Tamandua tetradactyla: one gene and its partner. The protein of the gene in region 2 purifies or fractionates together with the protein of the main gene of each other region. This does not show direct contact. Links are inferred from orthologs where the notes say so. Each region holds a gene or a part of one and is shown on either strand. Other genes may lie near its edges.

Region 1 (15,345 bases), on a different chromosome or scaffold from region 2:
CCTCCACGTGGTCCTGAAACTTTGCTGCCTTGCCCGTCTCCTTGCATCATCCTCACCTGCAGCAGTGGGCTGGAGCCCTGCCTTGGCCCCGTGGGTAGGGGGGTTGCAAAGAGAGCTGGAACCAAACCCTTCTCTATTGCCAGAAGTTGGCATCAGTTGGATCTGACCCCTGTTGGGGACACTCACCGCTACAGGCTGGCTGGCCTCCAGCTGGGGGAGGACAAGAGCCAAGAGGCCTTGGGCGCTTGGTCTGGGGTCCCACAATCCCCCTCCACTTTACTCCAATCCCCCAGATGTGGCCAACCCAGAAGCTCCCAAGCAGGTGGGGTCACAGAGATGAATACCAGACAGCAGCAGAGGAGAGGGCAGGGGAGGGGGCCGTGGAGGTGGTAGCCTGGGCTGGTGGAACTGAAAGGCCTTCCTGGCAGGCTCCAAGAGTCTCCGGCCCATAGGATGCTTCTGGCCACCTCCCAGCTACTCCTCTGCCACCAGGCTTCCCTCAGCCTCTGGCTCCCCTGGCTGAACAGGGTCTCCTCTGGCCTGATGCTCGTCCCCCTCAGCAGCTGTCTCAGCCTCTTCCTCCTTGTCCCTGGGGCTAGCTTTGACCCCACTGTCTCCATCGCCTTGGCTTTCTTTCTCCTGCTCCCTGCTCCCTTCACCTGGCCCCCCACTGCCCTCCTCTGGGGAGGCCCCCAGGGTCTCGGGCCGCTCTGCCTGGCAGTAGACAAGGTAACCAGCTGGGGGAAGTCTGTGGGCCAGGGCTCCAGGGGGCAGGCGGTGGTAACCCTGCTCCTTGTACAGGAAGAGGCCGAAGGTGTCGGGCTGGGTCACTCGGAACTTGGAGGCACAGAGGCGGGTGAGGGTGGCAATCGAGGCTCCTGGGGGCACGGCCAGGGTCTTGGAGGTGCAGCCGTTGCTGGGGTCCTGATAGGCGACTCGGAGAAGGCGCTATGCCGAGGACACACAAAAAACAAATCCTCAACCCTGCCTGGCATAGCTGGCTCCAAAACCTCTACCCCCAGTGCAGCTGTGTAGGGTGAGGGTGGGGCTATATATCAGGTGGTGGGACTAATTGCCCAGAGCTTTCTGGACAAGGTGATTTGCCAGGGAGGCTTGGAGGGAGGGAGAGATGTGCTTGGGCCAATGGGTCACAGGGCTGCCAAAAAAGGACGGCCCTGACGGGGATCTTAGCCCAACAATAAGGGACCCTTGGTAGCTGCCCAGCACCAGGCAGCATTCTCAGCACTTGTACTATATTAACCTACATTAGTAGGTACTATTATCCCATTTTACAGATGAGAAAATTGAGGCTCAAAGAGGTTCCGGGCTTGCCCAAGATTCCACAGCCGGGAAGAGGCAGAATTGGGATTTGAAACCAGGCTCAGGCTACAGAGTCTGGACTTTTAGCCAAGACTAGGGCGGTGCCCTTGAGAGGAGGGAGAGGAGGGAGAAGGATAAGGCTGGGTCTGGCTCCAAGGATGCCCAAGGCCGAGCCTAGACGGGAGGGCAAGGTAAGCATGGGCAGAAGCCCCGGCTGGGGGCTGGGGCCAGGGGTCTGGGCCTGCGCCTGCCATCCGTGTTCCTTCCCTCTCTGCGTCACGTCTCAGTTTCCTCATCTGTAAAACTGGTATAATGACAGTCCTATTTCACGGCGGATGTGAAGATTCTGGAAATGATGGCCCCAGAGCCCTGAGAGCACATGGAATACACTCCCCCCGCAAAGCGCGGCTTTGCTGTTGGTTGTGGCTGGGACCCCCTCCCCTTGCTGTGTCTCACTGGGAAAGGAGGGGCCTGGACCCGATGATGCCAGAGTTTCCTGGGCCTGGGCAGTTTGGGGCAGACAGGGGTGGGGGTGGCCCTGTTACCTGGAGGCTGTGGGTGGCCGGCAGGCGGCGCTGCTCCCAGAGGCTGAGGGAGCGCTGCAGCTCCTGGGAGGGGCTGAGGCGCACGGCCTTGGCCTGGTGCAGGCTGCTCAGCAGGGTCAGGCTGGCCGAGAGGCTGGTCAGGTAGTAGCCGCCTGGGACGCCACGGGGAAGAGTGTGGGTCAGGCTGGGCATGGGGGGGGGGGGGGGAAACGACTGCCTCCCTCTCCCCGTTCCCTGCTCACCCAGGCCCAGAGAGCAGCGAAGACACCCTCGTCCCACCCAGATAGGAAGGTCAGGCCCCCTCACCCTCTCCGGTGAGCAGGGTGGGCTCCAGCAGCTCTGACATGTACTCGGCCTCCAGGAGCAGCTCTGGGAGGTCACACTGGGCCAGGACCAGGCTCAGTAGTGGCAGGAACTCGTCGGCACCAGCGCCTTCCCCTGCGGGGACGTGTGGCAGAGGCGGTTTCAGGGTCCCCCAGGCCTAGGGTCAGGGCCCACAGCGTGTCTTGGCCAGCGACCCCTCCCCTCTGCCTGCCAGCCCACAACTATGTGGAGAGGCTGCTCTGTCATCTGGGCCTCAGTTTCTCCATGTGTAAGATGGAGGATCGGACTGATTCTCCCCTACTGCGCCATTCCTGGGTCCTGGTGCCTCTCTTTGAGATGCCTGCGTCTGACTGTGCAGGGGGCCCGCGGGGGGCAGGGGTGTGGGGGGCAGGGGTGTGGACGTACCCGCCTGGGCCTGCAGCGCCGTGTAGAGCAGCTTGCAGGCCTGCAGGAGCCGCTTGACCTTGGCGCTGGGCGAGTAGGCGCGAAGCAGCTGCAGCAGCTTCTGGCGCACCTGCTCCGTCTCCACCGGGGAGGGAAGGCACAGGTGGGACCCGAAGGCTCCGGGGCCCTGGGCCCGGGCCAGGCGCAGGCCCTCGGCGAGGCAGCCCAGGGAGCCGTTGGCGGAGAACCGGCTCCGCAGGCGGGCTGCCAGGAGGGGCCGGAGGGGCTTGAGCACGGAGCGGTGCAGGGACTTCTCCAGAATGTGCTCTGAGGATGGAGAGCCAGTCAGGGCTCAGGCCTCAGGCCCTGCGGCTGGGGGCAGAGTCCTGGGGAGAAGGGCCAGGACTGGGCGGGAAGAGGGGATGGAAGGTGGAGGAATCGGGGTGGGATGGGAGAGAGGAGGGAGAAGGGACGGACCGAGTCACTCGAGTGATGCTGAGACGAGGTGGGTTTGTAAAGCAACAGGCGCAAGGAGTTAGGCTGGAACTGCGGGAAGATGAGAGCATCGAGTGGGGACTGGCTGGAATTGTGGTGAGGGAAGGCAGGGTCGGGGAGCTGGGGTCTTACCCAGCCTCTCCGGAGGCAGCAGCTTCTCGGGGCCCAGCTCGGCGCTCAGCATGGCCCGCGCCTGGCTCAGCGCCTCGCGGACGGCCTGCAGCTCCTGGGGCTCGGGCCTGGCCCGCACCTGAGTCAGCAGGTCCTGCACCAGCTGGCCCACGGCCGTGTGTCTGTCTTGCACCAGCGACCCGGCCGCCCGGCCCACCTGCCGCTCGGGTGCCAGCAGCGAGCAGAAGGCGGCGCTCATGGACCGCAACAGGGGCCGGCGGCGGCGGCCCAAGCAGGGCGAGGACCCTGAGCTGCGCCGGGATGCTGGCGCCGCCCCCTCCTCCTCCTCCGAGCTGCTAGGGGAGCAGCAGTCCACCTCCTGGAGGGAGGGCAGGGGCGGGAGGCTGGGGCCAGCACTCCACGGCACGCGGTACCCCACGGAGCTCTCCCGGCGCAGCAGCCCGTGAGGGGGCAGCCTCTCGGTCTGGTCCGGGGCTGCCTTGGGCAGCACGGGGACCGGGGGCGGCGGCCCAGCTGGGGGAGACAGGGGGCTGGAGGTCTCCGTGGACACGCGTACTTTGAAGCTCCTCTTGAATTTCTCACGCTTCGTGGGGCCCAGGTCCCCTGGGAACAGGGGGTTGAAGAAGCACAGGGCAGCTCCAGTGCCCTGGTCCAGCTCTTGAGGGGACCGGGGCTTCAGCAGGGGCAGCAGCGGGCCTTCAGGGGGATCCTGTGGGGCCCTGACATTGAGGGGGGAGCTCCAGAACTCTAGGGGGGAGAAACCAAGTGGGGGGGGCCTCAGGAACCGGGGAGGGGAGGGCGCCCGACCCAGGGGGAGGCATGACTTCCGGGTGGGTGGCCGCATGGCTCTCCCTTCCCCTCTCGGCAGGGCTGGCAGGGGGCCCTTACCGACGCCCAGATGGGAGATGGCCTCCAGCTCCTTGTGGGTGGCTGCCTGGCGGATGGCTCTGGGGAGCTGGAGCGGGAGGAGGAGGACATCTCTGGGACCGAAAGAGGGAGCAGAAAGTCCAGAGTGAGGGGATCCCTGGGGCCACGGGGGTCCTGGGAGGGGCCAGCGGGGTGGGGGAAGATGGAAGAAGCAGGGACCCCAGGGACCCTAGATTGGCAGGTGCCCTGTGGACACTCACCGGGTGTGGCAGTAGCCGCAGATGAGCTGGACCAGGTCCGGGAACACGAGCTCCGAGCCCTCCAAGGAGACGCCTGGGAGTCACCGGAAGTTGGGGCGTTCTCTGGGTGTCCCCCAGCTGGCCCGCCCCAGCCCCCTTCCCTCCAAGCCAGCCCCTCTCACCCCGGGGGCTCTCCTGGATGTAGTGGCTAGAGACGAAGGAGGGCCCGCCGGCCTCCGGCAGCCGCACACACAGGGTCTGGCACTGGCGGGTGTTGGATTTCCGCACCAGGAACGTCTGCGGGTGGACGGGAGTTGGGGGTGGGGGGTGCAGCTCCGGACCACGGTGTCTGGCCTCTCCCACCCCCACCCTGCCCTCCCACTGGCCAGGCCCCGCAGGCCGCGGGCAAGACTCACCCCGGGGGGCTGGGTCCTCAGCACGTGCAGAGCGGCCGCTGCGTTGGCCCGCAGCTGCAGCCACACGGGCCGGGTGAGCAGCAGGCGCTCCCGCAGGCTCACGGCGCGGCCCGGCCGCTGGGGCTCACCCACCTGCCTTCCGCCGGCGCCGGGTACATCATACAGCAGGTCGCGGGCTGGCCTGCGGGCGGGCAGCCGGACCTGGGCAGGGTGCCGGGGGCTGGGACCCTTGTCCAACCCTCCCTAGCCCCAAAGACCAGGCTCAGCCCTTCTCCAGCCCCCGGACGGACCCTTTCCTGCCCTCCCTCCCCGTCCCACCTGGCTACCCCTCCAACTTCACTAACTTTTCTATCTCCAGGTGCCTGGGAGCAGAGCTGGACGGGCTGGGGTCTCTGCCAGGGCCTGCGCCCGGCTCTCCGGGGCTGTCCATGGCTGGGAGCGCCTTAGCTTCTCCTGGGACTCGGGAAGCGAATCCAGCCCCCCAGGCGAGGACACTCACATTCCCGGCGGTGAGTAACACTTCCTGAGGGCGGGGCGCCCGGTCACACCCGCCAGTTAACTCTTGTGTGTCCATTCTGCTGCTTCTGCTCTGGGCACAGCCTCAGGGGCCTGGGATCCCCTTCCTGCCTGCACCTCACTGCGGATACCAGTTTTGGGGTTGCTGCCGCCAGTGCTTCCCACTGCCTCCCTGGCCTCAAGCCACACCCCTGGGCGGGAAGGAGTTCATCACGGCTTGCGGGGAAAGGGTTAAGCAGGGCTTGCCTCAGGCCCTGGGGGCCCAAGCCTCGCCCTGGGAACACCTTTAAGTCTGTGGTCAACTGATCCTTTTTTTTTCCTCCGAGGCCTTAGGGTCAGCCTTGTGGGCGAGCGCCCCCTATTGGTTACGGATGACTCATCCCTGAGCCTAACCTGGACTTTGGGATTTCAGGTTGCCATGGAGAAAAGATGCCATGTCGCCATGGAAACGAACCCCTTTGCTTAACTGAGGTGCTGGGGGTGGTTCTAACACTCAGCGCTAAACCGGGGGGAGTCTGGCTGTGAGGTCGTCAGCACACGGCGCTGCTGCCGGCTGCCTCCCACGCACAGGCCCTGCCAGCCTGCCTTGCCAATCTGCCAAGCAACCCGGGCAGGTGCAGACATGACCCAGCCCCCAAGCCCTGAGCACCCGTATGCTCGCCACGTGCTCTACCTGGGCCACATGTTGCTTCAGACTGTGCTAAGAAGTACCGGCCCCCCACCCAGCTCAGAGGTACAGGCTCCTGCTGGGTAGTGGGGAGAGGTGCCACATCCCAGGGACCCGAGGAGGGTCTGCCTGTCCCAGGTGGCTCCCCACGGGAGCCCTGATTCCCTTGCCAGGTGAATCAGACATACACACAGGCCATGCCAGAGTCCCAGGAAAGGTTTTAATTCCAGTCCCTACCACCTAGGAGGCAGACATGAAAAGACGCCCTGAGAGAAGCTGGGAAGCCTGGCTTTCCACCTCCAGCTCAGCCAGGGCAGATGGGCCCCCCAGTCATAAGTTACGATTTAAAGTTCCCATGCAGTGGGGCCTAGCTCCTTCCCTCAGTTCTGGAGAGCTGGAATCCAGGGTCACAGGAAGGGGAAGTTGCTTTGGCTTAAAATGAGGCAAGGGTTCTTTGTCTGGGAGGCATGGAGACGGCTGATCTTTGGGAGGGGGAGACAGTGGGCCGGTCGGGAACAGGGAAGACATCTTGGCTGCCCAGGTCAGCTCCACGTCTACTGCCGTGCAGACCCCTGAGGAGGCGGCGGAGGAAGAGTCCAGACAAGTGACCGCCAGGGGTGAGGCCCCAGCAGCCACAACGGGGGGCCAGCTGGGCTGTCAGGTGGACCCAGAGGGGCTTGTCAGCCCACCCTTCCGCAGGGGAATCTTGGGTTTGGTGCTGGCCACGCCGAGGGACCCCGTGGTGGTGAACAGAGGGTCACGGTCCTGGGGGCATATGGGAAGGGGACAGTCACTGTGGGGAGCCACCAGGGAGGGCCACCTCACATGCGGGCTCGGGGTATGGCTTTGGCTCTGGGGCTGCTCCCCAGCCTGAGCTGCACCGGGGCTCTGGATTCAGCCCTCTGCCCAGGAACTCCCCCCAGCCTTCAGGCCCACACTGACCCAACCTCGCTGGTCAGCCTCCCCCGCCCCAGCAACCCAAAGCTCCCACCCCAGGTTCCTGCAGCCCAAATGCTCACTCCACCCCCAGGTCTAGATCATTCTTTCTGTCTTGGGCCATGATGATTCTGACAGGTCCACTGCTTCTCTCAGGACTCCCTTCTGGAGGTGGGGCTAGAAGAGGTGACAGTAAGGGGACAAGGGGGACGGGAGGAAGTGTAGCCTCCATGGTTCTTACCATCCGATTTTCTCTTCTGAGGGGACACAGCTGCCCTAGCCTGGATGAGCAAGAAGAAAAGCCCCTCTGAGAGCCTGCCTCCAGCTTGGCAAGGACCGTCCCCCCATATCAACCTCCATGGAAGTGGGGGGCTGCTGGATCAGCTGTGCTTTGAGAGGGGTGGGGAGCTTAAGACCCTTTCCAAGCAAAGCCCTGATGTCTGTTTTCAGATACCCAGCCAGCCCAGACGCCCTCCAGGAGCCTGCCACCCTTCCCTCCCTGTCCCCCCACCCCATCGGAACCTGCCCTGCAACCAGAAGGGGCTGGCAGGCTAAAAAGACCGTCTCAGGCAAAGGGAGAACGTCTGTCTGCCAAGGATGATAAGAAACCTGGGTGGCAGAGAACCCTGTCTCTACAGAGACAAGCCCAACTTTGGTATCTGAGAGAGGTCTCACACTGCCCTGTGATGGGGCTGGGGTGGGGGACAGTAGGGACCCCCTACCTTTTTGATAGCAGTCCAGTCCTCTAGAATGTCGATTTCCTGCAGCATATACACGATGTAAGGGCCTGCGACAGGAGTCAAGGAAGCAGGAGCCGAGCGGGGTTGCAGGGGATGGGTGGGGGGGTGGGGCGGGGGGACTGGGGCACCAACCCAGTGCTTGAGAGAGGGCAGCGTGAGACCGGACAGTTGTGAACCTGGGTTTGTGGTCAGGTCTCACCTCCCACCATGAGACCCCACCCCTGGCCCTCACAAGGACCTCACTGCCTACCTCCCCTCGGCTCACCCTCACCTTCATCCAGTCTCAAGGCCTGAGTCCAAGGTGCACCCCACCCCCCTTGCTCCTTCTATTCCCTCCCTTCCTGTGGCATAAACTGTTCCCTCTCCTGGCCCTTTCTCTACCAAGAACAGATGTGGAGGTCTCCCAACCCTGGGCATCACATTTCCCTCTGGGGACTGTCCACTACCCACACCTTACCCCCCGCCCCGTGACCACCTGTGCTCTGCATTTGACATCCCCATGCCCTCACAGTCCATTCATGCCTTAGTGTGCTCCCAGCTGCCTGCATCTGCTCTCCATCACCAAAGTGACCAGGACCCAAGAATCTAGTTCCTTCAGAAATGCCCTCAGAGGTGGCAAAGATAATTCAACATAATTCTGCTGGGATATACCAGGAGGGTCCCGGGGGTGGAGACAGGGCAGGCCTTGGATTGGAGGGGCTCAGGCCCAAGGCAGGGAAGGCAGAGACAACTCCTCCCATGTGGGAGGTGGGCAGCCCAGTTGGCTCACGGAAGAGGTGACACTTGAGATAAGCACCGAACAGGTAGGGACAGCTGTGAAGGCACAGTCGGAGGGTGGAGCACAAGCAAAGGCACAGACGCGGGAGAGCCTGGAACATGCTCTGGGGCAACTGAGTGGCTTGGGAGAAATCATGGAAAGCACAGATGGGCCCAGAGGCCAAACCTCACCCAGAAGTCATGGGGCGTCATTAAACTGATGTTTCTATCTATGGTCCACAGAGCCTAGGAGAGACCCACGGCCCCACAATAAATTTCTGACAGCTGGATCTGCTGGGATATGGTCACATGACACCCAACGACCGCGAATGTCTCTAGTCCAACCCTGCCCTTCGTGTCACCTCCATCCCCCCACCCCTGGGGTCTGGTGCTGACACTGATCCCCCACCCAGTCTCAGGCCACCTTGGGGGAAGGATACCAGAGACGAGAGGTGCCTTCTTCCTCTTGCTGGGTGGCAGGGAGTCCCAGGTCCTTGAGCTGCCCCTGGCGTGCAGCTTGTCATCCCACCACTCTGAGCCCCCAGACCCAGGATCAGTCACAGGTGTTGGCCCTCACAGGCCGTCCCCACGCTTGTAGAGCCAGCCCAGCCTCTCCTCCCTTCCCCACCCACCATCACCCAGGGCCATGCGTGGAAGCCTGGGCTTGGGGTCGGAAGCCTGAGTTCAGGCCCCAACTGCACAGCTGTGCAGCCCTGGGAGAGGTCACTGCACTTTCGTGAGCTTTGGTTTCTTCACTTGCTCCGTGGACAGTGGGGCAATGACAATTCCTGCCTCCTCAGGAGTCCCCCACCCCCAAGAAGCCTACTGGCAGAGCAATGGACATGAAGTGCGAATGTGGAAGTGGGGGAACTGTGGTTACCATACATGTGGGCATGTCCAACCAACACCTCGTTCCTGCAGGAGAACAGGGCGCAGGAGGGCAAAGGAACCCTGTTCCTGGGCCCTGCTGCGTGGCAGGCACAGAATCAAGCCCTCTGCATGCCAGGTCTCAGTCAGTCAGTCCTCACTATGACTCCAAGCAGCAGCTCTGTCCTCATCCCCACAAGCAGTCAGGAAAGCTGAGGTCCAGAGCTGGGTGAGACACTCACCGGAGCTGATGTCCAGACTCTGGCGGTCCTCCTCCAGCCTCTGGATCCGCTCCTGCAGCTCCCCCTGAAGGGTGTCATAGAGCAGAAGCTTCTCACTCTGGGAGAGGCAAGGGCAGCTCAGTCGGGGGGTGGGGGTGGGGGGCAATCCCTGGCCTCACCTACCACCCTGCACCCAGTGCCCTCACCTCCAGGTGCTGTTTGGCTCCCTGCAGCTCACACTCATACTTATTCCTGATCACGTCCAAACAGAAGCCCTTATAGATCCCTGCACAGGGAAGGAGAAAGGGGGTCCTGCTTGATCAGGACCCTGGGTGCCCGAGGAGAAGGGCTGGGAGCACAGAGCTGGGAGGAGGGAGGAGGGGCACAGGATGGCCCACGGACCTGCCACCTGAATGCGAATCTTGAGGCTCCGCTGCAGCCCCCCAAGAGGCTCTGTGTACTCGGGGGCTCTCTCGGCCCCCACTTCTTCCAGCCGCAACCGTAGCTGGCTCAGTCGTTCCCTGAACAACCTGGGAGGTAAAAAGAAAAAAGAAAGGCAGCCATGTAGCTATCTGTCTACCACTCTTGGGCAAACACGTGCCAAGCACCCGCTCCCGGAGGGCCTGGTGTTAGGAGCTCACGCACTCTGGACCCCGGACACCCTGCCCAGCACCAGGCCCACTGCCTCCTCAGCCCAGGGGCCCCCAAGACCCAGCCCCAGGTGTTTCCGGACTCACTTCTCCTTTAGCTCTGAGAACTGCTTCTCCAGGTCTAGCATCTCGTTCACACACTCGCTCCGGCGGCGTTCGCAGTCCTCGTCGTCCATCTCTGAGGACAAGAGGCTGGGCAGGGTTGGCTCTGAAGAGCAGCAAGGAGGGGTGCGCATGTGGTGGGGGAAAGTGGGACTCACCGGAGCTCTCCTCCTCTGACTCCGTCTGGCTGCCGCTCCTTTCCTCCTCACTCTCTTCCTCCTCCCCGTTCATCTCGGCGGCCGAGTCGCCCTCTGCTTCCATCTCCTCTGTGTCTTTGCTCGGAGGCTGGACGGGCATCTGGACTCTGGGGGAAGGAGCGGAGCCATCACTTACTACTGCCCGCAGCTTGGAGTGGTAGAGTGGCCTGACACTTAATCAGAAGGGACAGCCAGGGAGTCCCAGCAGGCAGGAAGGGTACCGCCTGGCCCTATGTCCCAAAAGCCCGGAAGCCATGGATACACTTATGCCCTTGGGCATTGTTGGTGATCCCAATCCTGGGAATACCATCCAAGGAAATGATCTGTGAGATGGGAAAGGCCAAGGGCATGACAGTGCTCAGGGCAGCCTTATTGGTATTTGCAGCCATTGGGGGAAAGCTGGGTAGGCTGGGAGGTAGCCTGAAAAAAAGCAGACATGACAACACAGAAAAACACCTCCGTTACAATGTTAAGGGTGACCCTGGGATACTAAGTTGTCCTTCCTGGGATCCTTATGAGGATGTAGATACATAGTACCCAGCAGGATGTCAGACAAGTTGCCTTTTCCTTTCAAAAAAGTTTGAGGGCTCCCCACTGCCTATGGGACTGGGACCAAACTTCTGATTGGGGCTTTCTTGAAAGCCCTTCAGGCTGGATTTGAGCCAACCATCCAGCTCTCTCGCCCCAAATGTCTACTGACCAGTCCTCAAACTTCCCATGTACTTCTTCCCTGCCTGAGCTGTTCCTTCTGCCCCTAATGCCCTCCTTTTCCTGATAACCTTCTACAGTTTTCTTGTCTTTTCACTGTGCTCTGGGTCAACTCCCACCTCCTTTGCTTCCTCCAGGACCTCATGTCATCGCTGTCCCTTTCTCTCCTGTATCTTCCACTGTTCCCTGGTGGCCGGCTCCTTCCCATAAAACTTTAGCTATGCTCGGTATTTTCCACCATTGGAAAAAAGCAAAAACATAAAAACTTTCCTCATCCCATTTAACCGGTCTTTGTCTTCCACTACCCTACAGCTATGTTTTTCAGGGCCTTAAGTGCACTTGCTATTCCTACTCTCTCATGCTCCATTTATTCCCATCAGTCTCTGTACCTCCTGCTCTCTGCTGAAACGGAGTTAACCAACGACCTACCTTGTGGCTAATGCCAACATTTTTCAGTGCTTATCTTGATTGTCTTCTAGGCAACGTTGCACATTGACAAGCATTTCATCTTTTAGTCACTCATCTAATATTTACTTAGCACCTATACCTAATATACGCCAGGTACCATGAGACACTATGGCAGGTGCGAGGGCCCAACTGTGAAAGATACAATCTTTGACCCTGAGGCACTTATGAGTTCCTGGGAGACAGAGGCAAAGAAGCACCCAAGTACTATGGTGTGAGAAGACCAAAGGCAAATGGAGGAGCATCTAATGGGGATCTGGAGCTTGGCACAGCAGTACAGGCTTCCTGGGGAAGACTGACTTGGATGAGCTGAGCTGGTGGAAGGAGGGAACATTCCAGATAGACTGAGGATTATGTGCAGAGACCCAGCAATGAGAGGAGGGGCAGGGATGGGGGTACATGGTCAAAACCCTAGAGAGAAAACTGAGCTGCAAAGAGATCTGGCCACCAGCGTATTAGTGTATTCTTCAGGCCATGGGAGATAGTGCCAGAGAAGATTCTGTGGAGTGAGAAGGGACCTATGTGGAACTCCCAGGATTGCCAAAGGGGAAGATGAGAAGATCCCTGCAAAGAAGAAGGCAATTAGACAGAGACAGTGGAGAAAAACCCAAAGTCAAAGAGAGAGAGAGAATTTCAGGAGTGGTTGACAAAGTAACAAATCCAGCCTGAAGATTACTGAAGAGGACTTAGTCCTCTGAGCAGATAATCTCATTGCCTCCTGGAGGTTTCTATTTCACTATGATGTTTTTCTAACTTCTCTCCATACTGCTTGTAATCGTTTAGATCAGCATAGATGCCACTCCCTCCAGGAAGACTTCTTTGCTTGCATGTCCTCTGTTTGCCCATTCTCATGTCTGCCTCCCCAGTCTGTGAGCCTCACCAGGGCTGGGGCTGCACGTGCAGCTTACTCACCTAGCATAATACTAGTTCACCTGATGAATGGAGGATTAACAAAAAAAGAATTAAACAAACCAACTTTTGCGGGGCAAAGATTGGTTTCACATCTCAGTAGATCCGGGCCCTTGCAGTGTCAACAAATCTAAAGTGTTCTGTTACCTTCTGTTGACACTGATTCAAGTAGTGTAAAATGCCTGGCCTAAGGAAGAGTTTAGTCACTCTCTTCAGTGATTTCACCAATGATCTGAACAGGACCTGAAAACCACCTTAGCAGAAAGGGAATCTTCGTTTTTTGTCTACCTCGACCAGCCTCACCTTTCCCATTCCCGAGCTTCAGTTCCTGCAGTCTTGTCCATCTACAATTCATTTTAATTGTATATATCAAATTAATGTCAAAAATATGTCAAATATATTTACTCTCAGTGTAAATCTACCTCTTGCACACCGGTGGGGACGGGAATGAGGTGTGTAGGGTAGGGTGGGGTGAAGTAGGGTGGGGTAGGGTGGTGTGGGTTGGGCAGGGCGTCTCTCCTTCAGCTGTCTCTGACCGTGAATGGACTAAATTATGACCTCCCCTCCTTGCCCCTTTGGCAAAAAGGGGATTCCTACTGAGTGTATGCAGATACTAAGAGGGTAAGGGATGAAGACAAAGTGATGGCAAAGCAAACTGTAACACTCCTGTGCACAAGCAATTTATCTTTGCAGACCATGAGCTCCCCGAGAGCAGACAGCCCTGGAAGGCAAGCCCCTCCCCACCCTCGCAGAAGCCAACCCAGCACCTCCGCAGAGGCCCGGGAGCCTCGGGCCCCGGCCCTCCGCAGAAAGCGCGGGTGCGAGCCGGAGAAGCGCGAGCTGCCCAGCAGCCGGCCTCGTCCCCGCGGCCCCTCACGCGTCCGGCCGGTTAAGTCTCTGCTTCGGGCGGGAGGAGGAGATTGGGTCGGTTCCACCCGACGGGCCGGAGAGGCCGAACCAGGCGCCGAGGGCAGCGATACGCACCGCAGTGGCTGCGGCCTTCGGCCTCAAGTCCGACACTCCCCGAGAGGCGCCGGAGGCCGTTGGTACCGACCGCCGCCGCGAGGCCCCCGGAAGCACTGCGCCGGTCTCTCTCCTCCGGGAGGCGGGGTCTGTCGGCGCTTCCGTGTGCGTCATCGGGAGGCGCCCACCAAGGGAGCTCACAATTGGACAGCTGCGGGGCAAGGCACGCTGGGATACTGCGGGCCGGTCACCAAGGCAACCGGCGGAGGTTCACAGGGTCCCTGTGCTGGTGAACAAGGCCTTTTGTGGTTTCCCTGGCTTTGCAGCCGGCGCCCCTCAATCCGCGGCCTCCGCCCCGGCGAACCCGGGACCCCTTCCAGCTCAGGAGAGTAACGGAGCCAGCTGTGGGTGTGAACACTCATTTATTTACAAATTGTCATCGGTAGGCAAATACCCAGCACCAGCTTATTCGAAGGTACAGCTCTCCCCAGAATATCGCCCCCAAACCGCCAGACTGTTCCCTCCTCTAAAGTCCCGAGGGCGCAGGCCTAGGACAACCAGGGAGTTTGGGCTTCGATCCAAAAGCTTGAAACCAGATTCAGTGCCTTCATCTGATTTCTTTCCCCAAAGCCCATTTCGTTAAGTACTGTTCTCCTCATGTCAGCTCTGTCCCATTCCTACTTTTTGCTCTCCTCCCACCCACATCCGCCCCCCAGATTGTTAATAATAACAATAGCGATAACAATAATAATACTGTAATATTAATAATACTTCACATTTGTACGAAGCTTACAGAATGTTTTCACATGTAGCGTCTCATCTGAGCCTCCCAACAGTTCTGTGAGGTAGGTATTCTCACCTCCCTTTTTACAGACGGGGTAACTGAGGCTCAGAGAGAGATAATGGGATCTGCTCAAGGCCACACAGCTAGTTAGTGGTAAAGCTAGGACTCGATCCCAGCACCCCATATTCAAGTCCAGTGTTCCAATACCACAGCTACCTCTGTAAGGTTGAGTGCCATTTCTTACCCCAGTCAGGCCTAAGGGGTGGCCTGAGGAGCCAGGAGGCTAAGACTTCTCAGACTAGGGGAGGGAAGGGCTCAGCAGCGACGGGGGGAGCTGGGGTACTTGGCCTTCAACTCCTGTTTGAACTGGCGGTAAAGGATCTTATTGTGCTGATTTTCGACCTCCTTCTGGGGATGGAATTTCAAAGCTTGTTTGAAGCCCTTATGAACCAGGAAACCTTCGTTCAGCACCTCGAAATCGAACCCTGCCACGTGCAGCTCGCAGGCCTGTGGGAGTGGGGGAAGAGACAGGTCAGCAAGGTTTGGAGACATTCCTGGGGCCACGACTGACGTCCCTACAGCCACACTCAGGCCTTCGGGGACATCCTAATCTTTCACATCATCAACCACTTTCTGACCTGTGACCCTTTTACTTCGTTGCCGCCTTTCCACCCAGAGCTACACCTCCCACCTCTCCTACTCCACCACTCCTGCTGCCCCATCTCCACCACCCTCTCCCTCTTGAGCACCTGGCTGATCCGATTGAAGCCGTACTGCCGAAAACGCTCGTCGAATGTGGGCACCTTGCCTCCGGCCACATAGAATGGCTCCCAGGGGTCCTGCCAGGGCACCACGTAGGCAGGCCTCAGCAGACTCTCCTCGGGCAGGTTGACCCAGCGGGAGTAGTTGGTGGGCGCCTGGCAGGGTGTGCACAGCCCATAATAGAAGGGCCGCACCTCGCCCACCTGGTAGAGCTGCAGCAGTTCGTTTTTGCTAGTGGGCATGCGGCGGGCTCGGCGGATCTCAAAGGCAGGCACCACCAGTGCCGTGCCTGCCCACTGCTTGCTCTGATCCAGCAGTTCCCGCAGGCCTCTCCACAGCCCCTCGCTGGGCACCATGTCCACGTCGATCACCAGGGCATA
Region 2 (15,354 bases):
TTTTATGAGAACAGGGATTTCTGTCTGTTTTATTCACTGCTAAGTCCCAAGATTCCAGAACTGTACCTGTATATAAGAGGCTTTCAGAAAACATTTGCTGAACAAATCTTATGTACTACTATATTAGAGGAATGCTACAAGAAGACAGGCGAGAAAGCAAACCTCTAGAGTCAGGAAAGGACTAGAGCAGAAGAAATTTAAATCTGATGAGCAGGAACTCTCACTGAAGGCAGTTGAACAAAAGACTGTAATGGATAAGGATACGTATGTGATACGTGTTTTAGGGAGGAACAGCATCAAGCCTGAAGAAAGACTGTTAAAGGCAAATAAGCTTCCTAAAAAACATGTTATTTGACAAAAGGAAAAAACATAATGAGATCTACAGTACAATTTTATATCATCTTAAAAGAAATACAGAGCCCAAACATACTATATATTTTTCAAATATACAAAGTAATAAATATAAAAGTCTTTTTAAGTCCAAAGTACTAAAAAGAACCACAACTTGCAAAACAATAATTTTTATTCCCGACTTTCCTTCTTTCTATCTCTGGTTTTATGGTCTTTTTTGGCCAAGTCAAAATAACTTATTTCCTTCCTTCTTTCTACCCACTTTGTATTTCTTCTCTTTTCTCAAAGTAGTGAGGGTCAATTTCCTGTACAATCAGTCTACACAGGATGCCTTCACTTAAACACCATCTTAACCACCATACCAATACCAAAGAAAAAGAATTTTCTCATCCTAATGTTTTTTGAGGCTTGTTTAATATATGTGTTTGAACATATATTAAAGCATAAAGAATTAAAGAACTAAATGGAAGAGAGCAAGCTAGGGAAAATGGGCAAAAAAAAAAAAAAAAAAGACAGCCCAAGGGAAGAATAAGCAAATGTCATGGTATTACCAAGAAGGTCTTATGCTCCTTTCTTCATTCTAGGCTTCAGACAGTCTCGTGATTCAGATGGATTATGCCCACAACTGTCTAGACTAGAAATGTATTATTTTTGAACACAGTAAAGTTGCTAATATATATTGGTATCTTAAATAGAGAATGAGTTAATCTTTCATTTAAATACTTAAATAGAGGTAGACCAAAGAAGACTTAAATAAGAAAATAGAAGACCATGAGTTTCACTATGGCACAGCAGAAACTTGGAGCAGAAACACATTATGATTATCAAGAAAAGGTACAGAAATAGCTTGTAAGAAGTAAATTATCAGGATTAAACAAGTTAAAATCCAAAATAATAAAACTTGAACTCAAATTCAGAGAATTCCTTAATGTTTAATTTTATTAAAGACACTTTTACTAGTCATTCAATAACTATTATCAGTTTAGCCAGAAATCTGTCACACAGAAATTGGATAAATTAATATATAAAATTTTCAATTTAGGCATTTTCAATTATTTTACAGACATCTTGTCAGAATTCTACTTTATCTGATTACAACATTCTCTTAGAAGTTACTAATATTTTTACCTGTTAAAAACTATGTAAGGTAATTAGATAAATTATTCAACAGTTTTTAATGTGGTTTAAGTTCTTCACATCAAGCCATACGTATCTTTTGGGGGAGGGGTACTGGTATTTAAAATTATATATTTTTATTGAGAAATATATACACACACAGTCCAGTTATACCGCATATTCAATGGCTCACAATATCATCACTTAGTTGTGTTTTCTTCACCATAATAATTTTTAGAATGTTTACATCACTTCAGAAAAAAAAAAAAAAAGTACTCATACATCCCATATCCCTTACTCTACCTCTCATTGACCCATAGTATTTCAATCTACCCAATTTTTAGCCTTTATCTCCCCCTTTTATTTATTTGTTATCCTTATTTATTTTTTATTCATCTGTACAGACCCTGGATAAAAGAAGCATCAGATACAGGGTTTTCACAATCACATAGTCACACTGTAAAAGCTGTACGTTTATACAGTCTTTTTTCATAATCAAAGCTACTCGAACACAGTTCAACAGTTCAGGTACTTCCCTCCAAGCCACGCCAACACACCATAAACTAAAAAGCGTTATGTATATAATGTGTAAGAATAACCTCCAGGATAATCTCTCAACTCTGTTTGAAATCTCTCAGCCACTGAAACTTTATTTTGTCTCATTTCTCTCTTCCCCCTTTTTGTCAAGAAGGCTTTCTCAATCCCTTGATGCTGGGTCCCGGCTTATCCCGGGGAGTCATGTCCTACATAGGGGGAAGCTATACACATCTTAATGCATTAAAATACTGTATATTATACATTCTTTCATTCAATAAGTATTCATTGAGATCATACTACAAATACCAAGAAAAAAGCACATGAACCGTCACTGATCAACAATGAAGATAACAATAGTAAAGATTAATTTTAAAAAATCTCCATTCACACTTGATTTCTGTGGTTACTTATCTTCCCCCCAAACAATCACCTCTGAACGATACCTGTGAAGTTGGGTAAAGCAGATTCTGAGGCCTCACTGCAGAGACAGCAAAGAGTTATATCCTCATCTCTGTCATAACCATTATGTGGAAGCAGGACTGTCCCAAGGATCATACCTCTTCCCAGAAGTAAAAAGTTCAAGTGTCCTATGTAATGAGGAAGTCTTAGAATTCCACCCTCTGACAAGCAATACCACATGCATGTGACAGTTACTCATGCATTTCAGCAGCCAGAAGAAACCAATCAAGGGGAAAGTATTGCATCTCCCAAAGTGGGTGGAGAATGAATGACCTAAAGGGAAATGTCTAGTAATAGCAAAAGATCGAGTCACAATAGAGTTATTTATTTATTTTTTACATGGGCAGGCTCCTGGAATTGAACCCGGGTCCTCTGGCATCACAGGCAAGCATTCCTGCCTGCTAAGCCACCGTGGCCAGCCCACAATAGAGTTATTTTAAGAACTATGGGAATATTCAAAATAAAGCAAAAAGCAAAACATGAGTAATAAATAGTTTAATAATAAAACAATCTGGGATTAGTTCATACAGTTGGGTATTCATTCCTAAGCAGATGATTAGGTGAGACTGCTGAGAAAAGTTTTCTTGGAGAAAAACCATTACTATAAAACAACGAATATACTTTTAAAAGAAAGGAAATGCCGAGCAACACTCACTTTTTATGTCAATTATATTAGCTCAAGAAACCACAAATCCAAAACCAAAGAAAGAGTTAAGATATGATTCACAACCACAGAAGCCCGGACATGATAGCCTTTGCTAAAATTTTGGCACTACAGCTTAATAAAGGTTAAAAACATGGCATGATAGTGTTAACTACTTTTCAGTATTAATAATTTAAAAAGTAAATGTCTGATCTTTGTTAATATATAGGAACAAAGTTAAATAAAGTCGAAGAACCTGAATATGAGAATACCTTATAAGAATTAAAATTTACAAATAGTAGATGTCATTAATGTTATGACCTAGAAATATAATGCCAAGAAGTGTTTGTGACTGTTTAGCTGAGAATATCCACTGATTCAGTAAATATTACACATCTACTATGTACCAGATTGATTCAATAAATATTTATTAAACATCTTACAGTACCAGGCATTGTTCTAGATCCTAGGCTAATCAAGATAACAGGGTAAATTTCAGAAAGTCAAGACTGAAATAGTACTCAATAAAACAGAAGCATAAAATTGTAATATAACTTGACTAGGGAAGAATGAATTTGATATAATTAGTTGATGGTTAACTTCTGGTGTCAACTTAACCAGCTGATGGAGCCCAATTGTCTGGTCAGGCAAGTACTAGCCTAATCGTTATTGCAAGAATATTCCATGTCTGGTTGATAAACCAGAAGGCTGGTTTATTTAATCATCAGTTAGTTGATTGCATTTGTGACTGATTACACCCACGATCAACTAACGGTGTGCCTCCCACAAATGAAACAACCCAAACAGTTGGATTTGATTCAATCAGTTGAAGACTTTTAAAGGAGAAAAGAGAATTTTCACTGCTTCTTCAAAGCCAGCCAGCCAACTTCTCCTATAGAGTTCGTCAAGACCTTCAATGGAGTTGCCAGTCTCACTGTCTGCCCCTTTTGGACTCTTGCATTTCTGTGGTGGCATGAGATATTTTATAAATCTTGTATTCACAGGTATCTTCTGTTGGTTCTGTTTCTCTAGAGACTCATAATACATTAGGCTTTTTTTTTTTCCAAAGCTAATACTTTCAACAAAATTAACTTTAAAAGACTGCTACCGGGCAGGCCACGGTGGCTCAGCAGGCAGAGTTCTTCGCCTGCCATGCCAGAGACCCAGGTTCAATTCCTGGTGCCTGCCCATTCCAAAAAAAAAAAAAAAAAAGACTAGGACTGTCATCCACCTGAGGAAAGCAAAAATTAAATGACTAAAGTAGTAAGTCAGAATTTCAAACAACATATTGAATTTCTCCTTCCCTGGATTACAAAAATGTAAAGGGAATGTTTCTATCAGCTTTATTTGTAATAACCAAAAAGTGGAAACGACCCAGATGTCCTTCAGCTGGTGAAATGTTCAACAAACTGCATACCTAAACCATGGAATTCTACTCAGCAACAAAAAGAGAATAAACTATCGATACAAGCAACAACCTGAATCAAACTTTAATGGAGTATACTGAGTGAAAATAGCCAATCTCCCCAAATTAAAAGCCATATGATTCCATCTATATAACATTCTTGAAATGATAAAATTATAGAAATAGAAACCAGACTAGTGATTGCCAGGGGTTAAAAAGCTGGTGGGTGGGGCAGAAGAAGAAGGGGGTCATGTCTAGGGCAACAGGAGGGATCATTGTGGTGATGGAAATGTTCTGTGTTTTGACTAACAATGTCAATAACTTGGTTGTGATACTGTACTGTAGTTTTATAAGAGTTGCGTTAAAATGTGGGGAAAGCAGAGTAAAGGGATTTCCCGCTAACACTTCTTGCAACAGCAAATAAATCAAAATAGTCTCAAAAGTTTAAAGAAATTACAATATCCAAAATATACAAAGAACCCTTAAAACTCAACAAGAAAATAAACAACCCAATTAAAAATGGGCAAAATGATCTAAACAGACATCTCACCAAAAAAGATTCACAGGTAGCAAATAAGCATATGAAAAGATACTTAACATCATATGTCATTGGAGAACTGCAAATTAAAATAACAATACCAAATACTGATATGGCTGTGAGGCAACAGGACCTCTGATTCACTGCTGGTGGGGATGCCAAATAGTACAGCCAATTCACAAGACAGTTTGACAGTTTCTTACAAAGCTAAATATAGTCTTACCATATAATAATACAGTGAGCCACCCTTAAAAATTGCCTCAAGTGAATTGAAAACTTATGTCCATATGAATCAAGCACATGTGATAAAGGGGGAAAATTCAACTTCTCCAAATGGAGAATTCTTGATATTCTCACAAGCAGTGGGGACAACCAAAGCAATAGGCTGAGCCCCCAATCTTGGAGTTTGTTCATATGAAACTTAACCCTGCAAAGGATAGGCTAAACCTACTTAAAATTAGGCCTAAGAGTCACCCCCGAAAGAAACTCTTCTGTTGCTCAGATGTGGCCTCTCTCTCTCAGCCAACATGACAAGCAAACTCACTGCCCTCCCCCTCTCTACATGAGACATGACTCGCAGGGGTGTGGACCTTTCTGGCAACGTGGGACAGAAATCCTAGAATGAGCTGGAACTCAGCACCAAGGGATTGAGAAAACCTTCTCGACCAACAGGGGGAACGGCAAAATGAGACAAAGCAAAGTGTCAATGGCTGAGAAATTGCAAACAGTCAAGAGGTTATCCTGCAGATTATTCTTACGCATTATACAGATATCACCTTTTTAGTTAAGGTGTAGTGGAGAAGCTGGAGTGAACTACCTGAAAATGTAGAGCTGTGCTCCAGTGACCATGTTTCTTGAAGATGATTGTATAATGACACAGATTTTGCAATGTGATTGTGTGATTGTGAAAACCTTGTGTCTGGTGTTCCTTTTATCTACCTCATCGACAGACGAGTAAAATGTATAGATTAAAAATAAATAATAGGGGGAACAAATGTTAAAATAAATTTAGTAGATTGAAATGCTAGTGATCAATGAAAGGGGGGGTTAAGGGGTAGGTACATATGAATTTTTCTGTTTTATTTTTCTAAATTGATGCAAATGTTCTAAAAAATGATCATGATGATGAATATACAACTATGTGATGAAAGAAAAGAATGTTCATATTGTATGTTGATTGGTTTTATTAATAAAAAATTTTTAAAAAGGTGAATGGATACATTGTGATACATCCATACAATGGGATACTATTAGCAATAAAAAAATGAGGGTGCACAGGTGGTTCAGTGATAGAATGCTCACCTTTCATGTGGGAGACCCAGGTTCGATTTCCAGACCATAAACCCAGGAAAAAAAAAAAAAAAAAAAAAGAAATGAGCTATCAAGTCACAAAAAAGACATAGGAATCTTAAACTTACATTGCTTCGTGAAAGAAGGCAGTCTGAAAAGGCTACATACTATTTGATTCCAATGTTATGACATTCTGGAAAAGGCAAAAATATAGAAAAAGTAAAAAGATCAGTGGCTGCCAGGGCTTTGGGGTGCGGAAGAAGGAGGAAGGGATGAATATGTAGAACACAGGCCACTTCTAGGGCAGTGAAACTATTCTTATTGATATTGTAAATTCTATACATAACATTACACATTTGTCAAAACCCATAGAACTGTACTACACAAAGAGTGAACCCTAACATAAACTATGGACTTTAGTTAATAGGGGTATCAACATTGGTTCAATTGCAACAAATGTACCATACTAATAGAAAATGTTAATGGAGAAATTGTGTGCAAGAGACAGGATTACATGGGAACTCTCTATACTAACTGCTCAATTTTCTATAAACCTAGAACTGTTATAAAAATAGTTTTATTAACTTCAAAGAAAGAAATTATAGACAAAAAACCTCCCTTAATCCCATAGTTCCCTCCAAATCTTTCCTGAACTGCAAACTCATATGCAATTGCCTCATCAACATCTCTTCTTTTCTATTCAATCAAAGTTTCATATATTCAAAACTTGAAGTACTGACGTCCTGTTCCCCAAAGTCTATTCCCCCTCAGTAAATGGCAATTCCATTCTTGCAGTTACTTGGCCAAAAACCTCGCACTCATCTTTCAGTCCTCTCTTACATTCATACCTACATTTAATCCATCAGCAAATCCTGAAGGATCTACCTTCAAAATTTATCTTGACTTCAACTACTGCATACCATTTCCACAGCTACTTTCACAGTCTAAGCCACTTTCGCCTACATTACTGCAATATACCCTTAATTGGTCTCCCTCTTTTGGCTCTGGCCTCCTTCAGTCTATTTTCAACATAGCGACTAGAGAGACTCTTAAATCCTAAATTATATTACTCTGCTCAAAACCCTCCATTGGTTTCCCATTTTGCTCAGAATAAAATTCAGATTTTACTATTTTCTACTAGGCCTTCCATTCAATCCCTTTCTGAAATCATCTCTGGCAACACTCTCTCCTGGCTAGTCACTGGAAACCTTGCTTCAGGGACATTACATTTATTTTTACCTTTGCCTGGAATGCTCTTCCTGCAGATTTCCACATAACTTAGCTCCTGTGTCATTTATCACTTTATTGCTTCTTTATTACATGTTCTGTGATAATGGGTGAAATTCCTTTAAGCATTATTCCTTTACAGTGAGCATAATGTTAAGCTCTCTCTGTTAGAGGAGTCTAGACGGACAATGGAGAAGGAAGGAGCTTTCCTACTGTTTCTGGCAGCTGCAGCATTGGTCAGCAGTGTGGATGAGGCTATCTAGCCTCAGGTTAAGCTGCCCTAGCCATGTACTCAGAAGACATGGTGGTTTCCTTGGCAACCTTGTCACTGGCCTCACTCAATGTGGACATCCCATGATCCAGGCTTCCTGTCTACATAAGGACCCAAATTCGCCTACTCCCATAAATTATTCTCTCATAACCCTCCTGATTCTGAATTCTGACATGAACATCCTGTAGTCCATGCCTTGTGTCTGTCCAGCTTCCCAACTTTTTCCTCCTTACCAGCATCTACTGGAGTTTGTTTTCAGCTTCCCTCCTGATACCACAGCCCTCCCCATGATGAACACCATGCATTCTGGGCCCCCCACCCATACTGGTATTTCCATGTCCACCGCACACTGTGTGCCTGGCAACCAGCTATGGCTCACCTGCACCTCAGAGGATTACTTTTTACCTGCCAAATGACTGTTTACCAGAATATCTGAACCAAGCAAACATTCAACTTCTCACCCATCAAGTGGGCTGCAATGACACCTTCTCCAATAAGGTCTGAAATCCCCAGGGAGGGATCCCTTTTTCAACTTTGTCTTAGCTTGGGTACTCTACCCCAGCCTTAGAGCAGCATCATATAGAGTTCTCTTATAGCTTTTGATTCTTCTTTTATCATGGCTTAGTAATTATTTTTAAATCACTGAGTTGTTTCTGACTCCTAATTAAACCCAGACTGATACAGTTCCTTTGTTCCTGCAGGGCTGACAGGCATATATAAATAGCAAATCTCCTCCCACTGTACTCTCTGTTCTTTTTTCTCTGCTTTGTTTTTCTCTACCTGATATATATTTATTTGCTTAATGTGTCTTCTCCCACTAGAATGCAAACTCCATGATGGCAAGGCCAGACAAATAGAAAGCATTCAAATACGTGGTGAATAATGAATAAAAAGCTCCAATTTAAATTTTTTTCCACCTTGGGTACTTAATGTAGACTCCCACAAATCTTCATACTTTTCACATAATTTTTTACCTACCTTTTGCTCCCCGGAGGAGAAAAGTTTTGTTTTGTTTTATTTTGGGGGGGGCAGGGGGGAGGAGGGTAGCAAAGAGCTGTACAGGCACTAAACAGGGCTTTGGAGCCAAGTGCACCAGTTGAATCATAAGCTCAAGGACAATGAGACTATATTTGGAGTTCCATCTAAAGTCTTTGGTGTAACCATTAGTAGAGTCAATTTTCAATCATCTGGTGACAGGGTAATTGGTTTATGGATTAATCAGAATGGAGGGGAAGTGCATCTGCAAAGAAATTTAAGTTATTATGAATTAACAAAAACATCTATTTATAAAAAAGATGACTTCCTTTGAATTACATAGTAACCAGTAGAGGCCACACAGCCTCTAATGGAATATGATAAAAGCCTTCTCCCTTGGTCATCAATCATTCATTCATCCAACAAACACATATTATATTATCTACAATATACCAAGTACTACAATAATACTGTCGTCCTCAGAGATAGCAGTTAGCCACACATCAGAAGCAAAGAGAAGAACATATCCAGGCAGGTTCAAATATCCTAAAGAGACATTTGTTGCAGGAGACAACTGACAAACAAAGGGAAAAGAGAAGTAAGTAAGCAAGCAGTAAGCACTAGGCTCAATCCAGGCCTTATTCTAATACTGGATAGAAGGACAGTTCAGCCAAGAAGCCTACAGTGTTAACAGAATATTTTAAAAGAGGGTAACGTTTGTATTGGCAAAGTCCCTTTAGGGATGGGACAAAGACTATGGAACTAATAAACTTTATCATCAGGGAATCCCCTGATACTGTGTCAAACTTCAGGGACACCCAAATCAATAGGCCAAGCCCTTGATCATGAGGCTTACTCTTGTGAAGGTCATGCAGGTAGCAGAGAAGCTTAGCCTACCTATAGGCATGACTAAGAGTTACTTCTGGAGGACCTCTTTTGTTGCTCAGATGTGGCCTCTCTCTCTCTAAGCCCAACTCTGCAAGTGAAATCATTGCCCTCCCCACTACAGTGGGACATGACATCCAGGGGCAAAAGTCTCCCTGGTGGCATGGAAGAGGACTCCCAGGGATGAATCCAGACCTGGCTCCATGGGATCAACAATTACATCCTGACCAAAAGGGGAAGAAGAAGTATAATTAATAAAGTATCAGTGGCAGAGAGAGTTCAAATAGTGTCGAGAGGTTACTTTGGAGGTTGCTCTTACGCAAGCTTCAGGTAGACCTTGCTACCTATCATAACCTGCCAACCCCCAACCAGGACCATTCCAGCCAATCCTAAAGAACATCTAGGGCAATATATAAGATTCCAAGGGTTCCAGGCACTAGGATAACTTTCCAGAAACCTACAACCTCCAGAAAGGTCCTTGATCCGGATAAGTCCTAAAACCTAGCCCAGCCTCTCTAGAACATCAGATAGTTACACCTCCTTACTCCATTTAGTGACAGACCATTCCAATATGAAAAATTTTAAATCGCATAGCCCAAACACCCCTAAAAAGAGGGATGGAAAGATCAAAGGTGATGGTGGAGTTATACAGAGAAGACAGGATTTAACAAATGAATATGAATATTGAATCATTAAATTGATATCTCTTTTAGTCTCCAATATTTTAGAGTAGCTAGAAGTAAAAACCTAAAATTGTAGAACTGTAACCCATGTTAAACTCTGAGATATGTTCTGCAGCTAACTGTCCTGTGCTTTGAAATTTATAGCTTTTTTATACATGTTATTATGCATTTAAAAAAGGAATAAAAGTCAATTTGTGATGATTAAAAAATATTTAAACCTTCTAACCTCCTATATTCTGTAGCAGCCAGAAGGAAAAAACTAAGAGGATCGTATGGTAGACCATGACAAACTCTGTGATCTGTCCTGTAACTACTTGGTGAAGAGCGCTTCGAAAACTATTGCTTTTTTATTTCTTTGCTTTGCAGATATGTTATACTATACAATAAAAAAAATTAAAGAAGAAAAAAGAGGGCGACTTTTTTCCCTGCAACAGATGATGTTCATTCATCTTAAACTCTTGCACTGATGTTATTTTTGTAGTCTGAGGTGACATCTATAAATCAGTGAATGTGTTCTTAAATATTAGGTAAATAATTTGCTCTAGTTTGCTAGCTGCCAGTTTTCTGGCTTTTAAACGGCTTTTAAAAAGGGGAATTTAATAAATTTACAGTTTAACAGTTTACACAGTTCTAAGGCTGTGAAATTGTCCAAATTAAAACAATTTTATAGAAATATCCAATTAAGGCATCCAGGGAAAGATACCTTGGTTCAAGAAGGCCAATGATGTTCAGTGTTTTTCACGCTCAGCGGGAAGGGCACATGGCGAACATCTGCTAGCTTTCTCTCCAGGCTTCTTGGGTTTTCATTCTTCATCTCCAAAGGTTGCTGGCTGGTGAACTCTGTGGTTCTCTTGTCCTTCTGTGAGGGATCTGCAGCACTCTCCCTGCTCTCAAAAAGGAACTCTCTCCAAAATGTCTCCTCTTCTTACAGGATTCCAGCAAACTAATCAAGACCCAAATAGAATGGGTAGAGATACATCTCCATCTAATTAAGTTTAATACCCACAATTGATTCACATCTCCATGGAAATAACCTAATCAAATTTCCAGCCTATAGTGCTGAATAATGATTAGACGAAACAGCTGCTCTCACAACACTGATTAGTATTAAAACATGGCTTTTCTAGGGTACATAAAATTATGTATTGGTTTGAAAGGATTTATCTAAGTAAATTCACATTAAAAACATTTTGTTTTTGTTTTAACATCTTTATCTGCACTTTTCTCACTTATCTTCTTACCAAGCTTACCCTACCTAGGAAACTGAAAGTTGCTATTTGTGGTGCTTACAGAAAAACTAATAAAATCTATCACAAAACGAAACTGAAAATAGCATCATCTTTGTTTTTTTTTTTGTAGATGCTAACCATGACAATTATTTATACTGTCAACAACAGATATCACTATTTTCAGCTTTCTTTTAAGCACAGATCTGATACAATTGAGTGGAAAAATGTAGATTCTACATTTTCTACTTCATGGAATAAATCCTCTGGGTGAATCACCTTATATTTCAGAATGAGAGGCATTAGTTTAAATAAATTTATTTCAATTAGAATTTTTAGCCCCCTTACTTCATAGCTACATTCTAAAATCGGTTTCAATTTAATCTGGAAATCCAACTGCCAGTTTTACAAGGCATAAGTATTAGATAGTGTTCTAGTTTGCTAACTGCCGGAATGCAATACACCAGAGACAGATTGGCTTTTAATAAAAGGGGATTTATTTCGTTAGTTCTTCAGAGGAAAGGCAGCTAACTTTCAGCTGAGGTTCTTTCTTACGTGGGAAGGCACAGGACGATCTCTGCTGGCCTTCTCTCCAGACCTCTTTGGGTTCCAACAACTTTCCCCGGGGTGATATCTTTCTGCACCTCCAAAGGCCTGTGCTGAGCTGCGAGTGCTGAGATGAGGTATGCTGAGCTGCTTGCGCTGTGCTACCTTGCACTCTCATTTAAGCACCAGCCAATTAAACATCATTCACTGCAGCCGGCATGCCTCCTAGCTGAGTGGAGATATCATCAGCAACAGATGAGGTTCACATGCCACTGGCTCTTGTCCACAGCAACAGAACCAGGTGCCTTCACCTGGCCAAGTTGACAACTGAATCTAACTACCACAGATAAGTTGTCCTTTCCTTCTATTCAACAGGAACAGCAAATGCGCCCAAGGTTGTGCATAAATTACTTCAACAAAAATCATTTCTCCTGTTATCTTATTTCAAGCTTCTGCACCTTCTCTCATCCCTCTCCCAGTATTCCAAGTTTTGATATCTTCAAGTTACTGTTCAGTGCCTCCAGAAGGTCTTGGAAAAGGAAAACTCATAGAACACTTGGTTCTAAAATACCTAAATCCCTCACTTCAACATCAAGCGTACACTACTCATTCAGGATAGAAACGTTCAGCTTTGTAAAAGGGCAGATATGTATTCTTTTCATTCAATTAAAAAAATAGGCAAGGATAAATGAAAATGTTTCTTTTCATATGCATTTAGCTTCATCTAAAATAAGGTTCAGCAAACTTTATCTGTGAAGGGTCAAATAGCAAATATTTTTAGGCTTTGCAATACATATGGTTTCTGTCATACCTGCTCAACTCTGCCATTGTTTGAGGAAAGCAGAGACAAAGGCATTATGTAAACAAACAAGCTGACCTGTGCCACAATAAAACTTAACTGATGAACACTGAAATTTGAATTTCACATAGTAATATTGTTCTTTTAATTTTTTTCAACCATTAAAAATGTAAAACCGGGCGGGCCATGGTGGCTCAGCAGGTAAGAGTGCTTGCCTGCCATGCCCGAGGACCCGGGTTCGATTCCCGGTGCCTGCCCATGTAAATAAAATAAAATAAAATAAATAAATAAAAAATAAAAATCTAAAACCATTCTTAGGGTTGCGAGCCACACACACAGACAGACAGTGGGTCAAATTCGGCCTACAGGCTGTAGTTTGCCAGCTCCTGATTTAGAACAGGGGATAAAATTGTATTATCCTTAAGTTCTATCCTCAGACCAAAAAATTTATCTCTGGTTCTCCCGTTAATCATCACTTCCTCTGGTGACACACCATGGCATACTTCAGTGCCTTGAAAGAAAATAGTTTAATTATAATTCAAATTGCAAATTACCCAATCTTAACCCCTATGCTACTGAACAAAATAGGCGTAGAATAATAGAAATATTTTTACTTTGGATTATGAACAAACACGAATAAATGTCAATAAAAAGCTTAGCATCTTACATATCAGTGAAAGAATTCCTGAACAGAAGAAAATATAAGTTCTAGTCAGTCCTAGGTATTCTACTACTCTACAGGGCTGTACTGGGTAGGTTACTTAACAGTTTTGGCCTTAGTTTTCTCATCTGTTATTTTATCAAACTAAGAGAACTCAAGGTGCTGGTGAGCTCACCCATTCGGTGAACTTATGGACCTCTGAAGATATGTAAATACTTGGCAATCTGTAATCAAAATTAAGTGTGCCATTATAATATGCCATTATAATATGTAATAATATTACATTATTAAAATCATGTCATGACACCAAATTCCCAACTAAAACTGTAAAACTGAGCTTATTAGTAGTAGGATGTCACTGTCCTCTAAATACAAGGTTTGAGAATAAAAGTTTCTTAAATCTTTCCATGTATGGAATCCTTCCAGCTATCAGAGGCTAAGTCTTAAAAGAATATACTGATTTTTCAAAAATCTGTCCATCTTTTTCCAAGACAGAAATGAAGATTTTCCTATAGCTAGAATGATGCCACTTCAAAATTGTAATTTTATTACAGAGAAGCAATATTTAATTCAGTATACTGGATATAGTGGTTTGAAACTGTCTGTGCCCCAGAAAGACATGTTCTTAAATTTAAGCCACTCCTATGGGAGTAGATCCATTGTAACTAAGTTTTGATGAAGCTACTTTAAAGTATGACCCATTTCATTCAGGGTGGAATCACTGGAGGCCTTTATAAAAAGAATGAATACAGAGAGCAAGGGAAAAACCAGAAAACCAAGAAGTTGAAATCAACAAAACCTGGAAGAGATGGGAGAGACCAGCAGATGCTACCATGTGCCTTGCCATGTGGCAGAGGAGCCAAGGATTGGTGGCAACTAGTGTTCAGAAAAGCACTGCCTTGATGATGGCTTGATCTGGATATTTTCCTAAACTCTAACCATAAGTGAATAAATTCCCAACCATTTAATAGTATTGCTTTAAGCACCCTAGGAAACTAAAGCAGTGGGTAATCTGCAAGCAAAAATGTAAAATGATTGTCTAAGTATTGTTTCTGTTTTCCATTATTTAGAAGAGCATTCAGAGAACACACTGATATCACAAATTAAATGTAACTGTAAAACAGCTACCTCTCAAACGTTGCTATATGTAAAAAATGCTTAAATGCCCAAGAAAGGAATTCAATTATTAAGTTTTTTTCACTTTTTTATTAAAAAAAATTTTTATTGTGAAATATAACAAATGCAAAAAAGGCAATAAATTCCAAAGTATATTTTAACAAGTAGTTATAGAACAGATTTCAAAGTTTGGTGTAGGTTATAGTCTCATAATTTCAGGTTTTTTCTTCTAGCTGCTCCAAGATACTAGAGACTAAAAAGAAATATTAATATAATGGTTCAGTCGTCATACTCATTTGTTAAATCCTAACTTTTCTGTTATAACTCCTCCTTCTCCTTTGATCCTTCTTTCAATCTTTAGCGATATTTGAGTTATTCGCATTCTAACATTTTATATGCTGAAAAGCGGTGTCAATACAGGATAGGGGGTGGAACTGGTTGATGTTCCTGGAGAGACTAGAACCTCTGGATTTCAGCATTTATCTGGCCTATGAGCCACCAGAAGGTTTCACATTTATGAAAAGTAAACCTAGGGCATGGAACTTTGGTAGGATCTCAGATAGAGCCCTGTTCTTAGGGTTAACAGGAATGATGCTGGTTGGGATTTGGCAAATTGTAGCAGTTAG

Evidence for each region.
Region 1: the proteins of ABL2 (region 2) and RIN1 purify together in Homo sapiens (co-immunoprecipitation; 3 studies listed by BioGRID and IntAct, counting the BioPlex papers as one, with this or other methods). This does not show direct contact. The link is inferred for Tamandua tetradactyla from reciprocal best matches to the Homo sapiens genes ABL2 and RIN1.

Annotation. Positions count from the first base shown.
Region 1 is NC_135335.1:8,076,707-8,092,051, reverse strand, and holds the start of RIN1 (ras and Rab interactor 1), read right to left. Parts: upstream 5,553-15,345; 5' UTR 5,297-5,552; coding exon 5,067-5,296; intron 4,904-5,066; coding exon 4,723-4,903; intron 4,604-4,722; coding exon 4,489-4,603; intron 4,401-4,488; coding exon 4,328-4,400; intron 4,181-4,327; coding exon 4,089-4,180; intron 3,948-4,088; coding exon 3,201-3,947; intron 2,901-3,200; coding exon 2,595-2,900; intron 2,304-2,594; coding exon 2,172-2,303; intron 2,018-2,171; coding exon 1,866-2,017; intron 949-1,865; coding exon 475-948; 3' UTR 1-474. Other genes in the region: BRMS1 (breast cancer metastasis-suppressor 1), read right to left, coding at 6,236-6,477, 7,083-7,122, 7,564-7,628, 8,778-8,870, 9,447-9,543, 9,632-9,711, 9,828-9,955, 10,163-10,253 and 1 more; B4GAT1 (beta-1,4-glucuronyltransferase 1), read right to left, coding at 14,519-14,710, 14,953-15,345; uncharacterized protein LOC143645511, read left to right, coding at 11,649-11,759, 13,172-13,894. UniProt on the Homo sapiens protein: Ras effector protein, which may serve as an inhibitory modulator of neuronal plasticity in aversive memory formation. Can affect Ras signaling at different levels. First, by competing with RAF1 protein for binding to activated Ras.
Region 2 is NC_135330.1:33,421,457-33,436,810, forward strand, and holds the start of ABL2 (tyrosine-protein kinase ABL2), read right to left. Parts: upstream 6,364-15,354; 5' UTR 2,644-6,363; coding exon 2,448-2,643; intron 1-2,447. UniProt on the Homo sapiens protein: Non-receptor tyrosine-protein kinase that plays an ABL1-overlapping role in key processes linked to cell growth and survival such as cytoskeleton remodeling in response to extracellular stimuli, cell motility and adhesion and receptor endocytosis.